Caenorhabditis elegans: one gene and its partner. The protein of the gene in region 1 purifies or fractionates together with the protein of each later gene. This does not show direct contact. Each region holds a gene or a part of one and is shown in the gene's direction. Other genes may lie near its edges.

Region 1 (3,208 bases):
AATTTAAAACATTTCGATAATTTTTCTGCAACTGCCGAATGGTCTAGTCGACATCTCATCTCATTTTTCAACTACTATAACTTTTTAGACTTTTTATAAGAAAGCCAGTAATGTCGTAAGCTTTACAATTTTCAACTTGTGGATAAATAATTGTGAACTTTTTCAAAATAACAAGCGCAATAACTTCAAATCCACATAATGACATACCACGTTTCCTCTACTTGTTCAATAGTCTCACACTGATACTGAGAAGTCTTACGTTTCAGAAAGGTTGGTAGAGTTGCCATTAAAAACTTCAATGTGCTCGAAATGCTGATAAATTTTGGAAAGTTCTGTGTGTTTTTTTACTTTTAAACGGTGTCGAATGAAGGTTTTGTAAAACATCGATTGTTTTTGCCACTAATAAGGTATGTTTTCATTGTCCATAAGTTATTGATCAACTTTCAATTTTTCTGATAGTTCAGCAATGTTGTAGCTATTTGTCATGAAAATGATTTATTCTTTAAACAGTTTATCAGTTATCAGCAAGCAGAGAAATGAAGAAGTTTGATGTTTTCAGGTCTAGCAGTTCATCTGGAATATTTTAATTAAAATCGAGCATTCGAATACCCAAACTCACAGCCTGACTGAATTTGTTTTGGCTTGCAAGGACTGCGGTCAAACTGACAAATCTTGGAGCAACAGATGACATGATTTGTTGACACTGAAAATTGAGATTTAAGCTTTAGAACATTAAAAAAAACTAATAAAAACTTACACTTGGTTGGAAGAATGATAATAATCCAGAGCAGAAAGTCTCAGTCAGTGAGTTTTCGAAGAATTTCTCCATGGCACTTCCAACAAGGTTTGAGCTCAAATATGTTTCCAATTCCATCATTTTCGGACATTTTTCAGCTTGAATCTCTTGGAATGTGAAATCACGAAGTGGGGCAACTGAAAAATAGTCGGTCGATTATTGGACACCTCATTATTACAGCAAACCTGAACTTGCTGGACAACACTTGTTAGCTAGACAAACTCCTTGTGGAGTTGCCTGTTCAACTGTCATCTGAATAACAGTTGGGAGATATAAATCCAAGAAATCAATACATGAATCAGTCATGTTGGCTGTGACAATCTTGTAGCATGCGAAATCACGGACATCATCGGAAAGTTTCTTCTGAAATCACTAGAGGTGAATCATTTAAAAATTTGTTTTGGTGTAGGTGATTGAAATAAACAAATACACAGTTGGATTGTTGTTTTTATGTTACGAAACTATTTTAATTGTTTTTGCAATAAACTTACTCTGTTAGTGATCATGTCTGTTTGCATGTCTTCAACAACAAACTTGCATTCGAAACAGGACATGGCGAGAGTCTGAAAAATGGGAGTGTATTGCTTCTATTCAAATTTTGAAAAATAAGAAACCACATCAAATTCCCTTTTTCTTGCAAAATAACAACGAAATCTCTTTCCATCTATAAACTTATGAGCAATATCATCATGTTCCAATTATTTACCGACTTTGTCTCGACAATGTCAGTAGAAGGGTAACATGTGTGAAGCAGGTGGCTGTTGGGACGGCACACGATTCCTTTTTTAGATGGTAAAGGGTCAGTTACATCTGTCATTTTCTTTTCATTACTCAACTCCTACTTGGCTCACAACTCGTCATTTTTTATAGCGTCATCTTACACAATTTTATTAAAATGGCGAAGAAACCGAGAGTTACCAAGCTGAATACGGATCGAAGATCGAGAGCAAACGAGTACGTTCTCAAATTAATTACGATAAAATTAACATTTTCTTGAATTTTTTTAGTAGTTAATACGACTCCTAGCAATAAAATTGAATATAATATGAAAATTAGTTAGAAAAAAATATACCGGTCAGAACTCAAGCTTCATGAAGAACTGTTTCTAGATAGAATGCCCCACATTTTTCAATATCTCAGAAATCACATGCTTCATCATCAAAGGTTTATTAAACATTGTAAACTTTCAGACGAGAACGACAGAGAGTTTCCGAGATGAACGGAATGTTTGATGTTCTACTTAATCTTCTTCCGCCGTCACATTTTAAAACACGACTCTCCAGAGTTCAAATCTTGAGGTAAGTTCCCCAATAAGATGAGATCTCTTTTAGAAAATTTTCAAAACTCTACGAAAGTTTACTTGTTTGTTTTCTTAATTCAAAGATTTTCATTAAAAAAATAACCCTCGCATTTCAGAGAAGCCACCTCTTACATAATTCGTCTTCACAACTTTCTTATTGAAAGTTCAAATAGTGACATAGACGCAATAACTGTATTTCCGCACATCTTCAACGGAGAACGCAAGTCAAATAAAGATGCAATTCGTCGTCCCATGAAGTTGAAGCAGGGTGGCGGTGTTGCTGCTTTCATCTCACGCCACGAACTTCCCCCACTTCAACTTCCAAATCCCGTTATCCCAATTTTGAAGCCCACTTCAGTTCCAGTTTGGCCCCAAACCAATGTTTATATTGCTTATTTTTAAATTATTGAGTTTGTATTTGAGTTGAATGAAGTAGAACGGTTGTTCATTAGTAGTTTAAAAAAACCCATTATACCTCGAATAGCAGGTGGCATACTTGACAGCTGCGAATAAAAAAGTTGAGTTGAAATGCGCGAAAATAGGTAAACATGTTTTTGTATAGTTGTTTCAAATACTAATTTAGAATCAATCTATGGTACAACAAGAAATACAGTACCCTATCATTTCACTAACCTGACCCTTGTTGTTTTTCATTGCGGCTCCATTCCAGAATGCATCGACCTCATTCTCAACCTTTTCCTTTTCTTCATTGGAAGCTTCTACCTGAACTTATATAACAATTCAATTGAATAAATTAAAGAACTTAACCTAAAAATCTGAAATCAAAACGTCACAACAAAGGGATTTATAGACAAAACAAGCGATTTATGGAAGGGAACATGGGAAAAATAGACAATTCACAATAAAATAGGTTTATGCAAAAAAGGAGAATAAAGCTTAATGGGAAACATATTTATAGGAAGTGACGTTGGAAATATCCGAGGATACCCACATATTTGCGAGCCTTGAGTCCTTGAGCAGAAGCAGAGTTGCAGGCCTTGATGTCAACGCACACCTGAAAATATTGAAATCTTCTACTTTACAAATTAGACAAATCCAAGGAATTTCTGTTTTTTATAATTGAATGGATAACGAACCTGGTGTGGATCTTG
Region 2 (4,111 bases), on another chromosome or scaffold:
TCTTGGTCCAAGAATTACTTTATACTATCATCTGGAATGGATAGGACAGTCAAATTGTGGCATTTGTCACGCAATGAATGCCTTTGCTGCTTCCAGCACATTGACTTTGTCACCTGTGTTGCTTTTCTACCAAAAGACGATCGTTACTTTTTGTCAGGATCATTGGATGGAAAATTGCGGATGTGGCATATTCCCGATAAGAAAGTTGCCGTCTGGAATGACACTGAAAAGAAATACATCACTGCGATGACATTTGTGAAGAGTGGAAAGTTTGCGGTTGTAGGAACCTATGACGGAAAATGCATCTTTTATACTTCTGATGTGAGTTTTGCAAAAATAGTGTTTTTTTTTAGTTGAAATTCTTTGGACGCAGAAATAAGAACCAATTTGTGATCATCGGTCGCAGACTGGTGGTTATCGATTTTTGGCATTGCTGTCGCTGCGCAAATGACTTATTCCTTATTAATTTTCAGCAACTGAAATATCACACTGCTGTGGATGTACGGTCAACAAGGGGTAAAAATGCCCGTGGTCATAAAGTCACCGGATTGACTTCTCATGGAGACAAACTTTTGGTAAGTTAAATTCAAGAATCGGTCAATAGGGAACTATAACAAGAATAGTCCCAAAGTGGAAAATTCAAAAATTGAATGATTATGCATGTATAACAGAATTTGATAAGAATTTTGTTGCAAAATTAAAATGACTTTCAGGTGACATCCAATGATTCGCGAATTCGAATGTATGACATTCGAGACAAGGCTCTCACATGCAAGTTCAAAGGGGTGCAAAACGACCACTCTCAGATCCGTGCTGCCTTCTCACCAGACGGCCGGCACATCATCTGCGGCTCAGAAGACAAGTTTGTCTACATTTGGCGTGCCAGCGACACCACCGTCGCCTTATCAGTCCGGAAGGATCGCAATTCGTGGTGGGAACGGGTGCGAACACACAACGCGCCTGTGCCTGTGGCCGTGTTCGCGCCAAGACCTCAAGTGTTCTTCAACATGCTTAACAAGCGGGATAAGCACTCCAAATCTGACTCGATTGATTTTAATATCAGCGGGCAAGTGTTGCCGGGACAATCGGATTCGCTAACATCCAATGGCAATTTGTCGATTCCAGGACATGTAAGTGCTTGTAGTTAAGAGACCTTTGATGAATTATTGACTTTTAAATTGGTCTAGAAGCGTTTTGGTACATAAATCATGAGTGCAGAAAACCACCGAAGGAATTCTTTCCAGAAAGATAATTTTTTTACGCTTTGCAGTAGTTATTAGTAATCAAAAAATCAATTTTTGTTTCAGGTAATTATCAGCGCTGATTTGAATGGAGTGATCAAAGTGATGATAAACCGTCCGCGTCTGGTCAAGGCAAATCCACTGGACCCAAAGAATTCACGTTCTCGATCCTCCACTCTGCTTACCTAGTTTTCTTAATAACAGATATTAATCATTTTTCTTTGAAAATTTATAACTTTCCTCCGTTTTACTACCAACGGCGTCAAACCGACCCCGAGTGAGCTTTATTAGCAAATTCCACTAGATTTTTGTTTTTTTTTAATCAAACCGCACGATGTCAATAGTTAATTTTTGAATTTTTGAATCTTTGAATTTTCATCCCACTCTACTCTTTTTAGCCCTATTGGTCTCCAAATTCTATGATGATGTCTTTTGTTTTTTTGCTCGCGCAGCTTTGCTTTTCTCTAGGAATAACCTATGTGATGTGTAAACCTTTCGTCCTAAACGGGATATGAATTTCTTTTCTTCTGGGATAATTTCTGCAGTTGGTAACCCATACAGTTCCAAATGTTTTCTATGAGTAATAAATTTTTCGATTTGCATTTTAAAACTATTCCCCTATTTTTAAATTATTTTATCTGTTGTCAAATCACAGTCTGATATATATTTTATTATATTTTTTAAAAACAATTTTCATGTTATGCCTTTAATTGTTTTTCTCAATCAATCAATTTCAGGATGAAGTTTGTTCTTCTCGTCTCCGCTCTGGTCGCCGCGTGTGCCGCATCTTCTCTGGAAATTATCGCAGCTCCGGCTTCCCTTAAGTTCCCGGATGCTGACGCAACCTTGAAGACCACACTGATTTCCACTCTCAATGAGAACATTCTGGGACTTTCTGCAAGACAAGTTGATGGTGAGTAGTGATATAGTTACTTTACATATAAAGCAAAGAAGATGAATCGTTTTTCAGGATTTTCGGTCTCCGTTGACATGTTCTCTCGTCCACGCGCCCTTGCCGTCGTAACTGTAATTGGAGCTGACAACCTGAACTTGGGAGGAAAAACCTACTCAACCAAATCCGACGGTGTTGAGAATGTTGGATTCGATCAAGACATGGCGCTGATCTTTGGAGCCGACCGTGAAAATGTGCAAGTTTCGGCTGGTGGAATTACCGGATCAATGCTCGCTCTTGCCGCCCAACAAGAAGCCGTTGATGCTACTGTAATCAAGACCAAGAGAAGCACACTTGTCAAAGAACTTGAGGCTGTTTATCAACTTGCCGCTGCCATCAAGAGCGCCGGAGTACAAATGGATAACAATGCTGATGTTTTCCGGTAAGTTCTGTTAGATCCCGGAATCTTTGTTTCACATTATTTTTTTATTGTAGTGTCTCCATCACCGGACTTGTCGGAATCACCGAATCTGCCCAAAAGGAAGAAGCTGTCGCAGACGTTAAGGCCGCCATTGAGGCTCTCACTGCATCCATCAACAATGCTTACGGTGGACAAGCTGTCATCGAGCTTCTTGCATTCGAAGCTGAATCCGGAGCCGCCGAGAAAAGCACCGAGTCTCGCGAAATTCCAAACCATAACATTCAGAAGAGAGACACAAAATCAAAAACGCCAACCCAATTAGCTCGCGAAAACCTCCAAGTGACTGTTCCAGTGTCCTCTGATTATCCAGCAATCTTTGCTATCTTCCTTGGATTAGTTGTTATTCTTGTTGTGGTAAGTAGAAAATTACAGAATAATGTTCATCATATAACTGATGTTAACTCCAAAAAATGCCATTAATTTCAGGCTCTCATCTACATTGTTGTGGGAATGGCCTCAATCGACCCAGAGAAGGATTCCATCATCTATCGTATGACCACCACAAGAATGAAGAAAGACTAGATTCTACAGCATCTTCATCAAATGAGCACTATGCTCACCATGTTTCACTGTTGAAAATACTATTTTCGATATTATTTTCAAATTCTTAATTTCTGATTACCGTTCGAGACATTCCATTTTCCAATTTTTCCAGTAATTGATTGTATTCTTTTCTAAAATTTTGATGACTTTTTTGTTTATTTGACTATTTTTTCCCATCCTGTTGGTTTATCTACTTCACAGATTAGTACTAATAAATGTATCTTATCGCAGAACATTCTTCTACAGTGAAAAATTTATACAGCTTCAGAAGTAACATTGGGATGGTTTCATAAAAACTTGATAACCGTCTAAGGAATGCAAAATACATACTTTTCAATTTGGACTCTCTAAAGTATAATTTGCCAAAAAAAAAAACCAAAATTGCTAGAGTTTCCGCAAGCATACTTAATATTTGGCACAACATAAAGTCTGGTTAATTGATCAAAACTCTCTCAGTGGAAAAACAAACAACGGTGTGGCCATTATATTTGTATACCCAATTGTCAATCTGAATTTGAAAGTGGGAAAGAAAACCAAAGTTGCATCAAACTTTGAATATTCACTATTGATCTATTGACCGGTTTAAACATTCCAATCTTTTGAGATCAGCGTTTGATATGCTGATTTTCCAATTTCAACGATATGTACTATGTAAAAATAACACATTCTAAATGTAATCTATGTAATGTGTTCTTCTTGTTTTCCGTGTGACAATCCTTGTTGTATTTCTCCTCCTCAGGCAGAGTCAGCAGTAACTGGACCTTTCTACATATCTACAGGGCAAAAAAGAGGGGGGGGGGGGGGGGGGAAGAGGGTTCTCGGGCATCAATTGAAGTAAGATGCAGATGAACATACACAAAGATACATATGTTCGAAATGATAAAAAAGGTATACTAATTTTATATCAAACATATCATACGCGGATAGCAAAATTTTTCTAATGTTTTCTATTTG

Evidence for each region.
Region 2: the proteins of hlh-12 (region 1) and vha-20 fractionate together in Caenorhabditis elegans (co-fractionation; one large-scale study listed by BioGRID). This does not show direct contact.

The regions. Positions count from the first base shown.
Region 1 is NC_003282.8:8,477,930-8,481,137, reverse strand, and holds hlh-12 (Helix-loop-helix protein hlh-12), read left to right. Parts: upstream 1-1,691; coding exon 1,692-1,750; intron 1,751-1,986; coding exon 1,987-2,094; intron 2,095-2,212; coding exon 2,213-2,498; 3' UTR 2,499-2,543; downstream 2,544-3,208. Other genes in the region: spp-10 (Saposin B-type domain-containing protein), read right to left, coding at 562-573, 620-703, 758-933, 982-1,159, 1,288-1,359, 2,730-2,819, 3,049-3,111, 3,194-3,208. UniProt on the Caenorhabditis elegans protein: Transcription factor which binds the E box motif 5'-GCAGGTG-3'. Involved in migration of the gonadal leader cells; distal tip cells (DTCs) in hermaphrodites, and linker cells in males.
Region 2 is NC_003284.9:14,162,374-14,166,484, reverse strand, and holds vha-20 (Renin receptor-like C-terminal transmembrane spanning segment domain-containing protein), read left to right. Parts: upstream 1-1,978; 5' UTR 1,979-1,979; coding exon 1,980-2,154; intron 2,155-2,211; coding exon 2,212-2,575; intron 2,576-2,628; coding exon 2,629-2,968; intron 2,969-3,040; coding exon 3,041-3,136; 3' UTR 3,137-3,386; downstream 3,387-4,111. Other genes in the region: sym-4 (WD repeat-containing protein 44), read left to right, coding at 1-321, 474-575, 714-1,130, 1,308-1,430.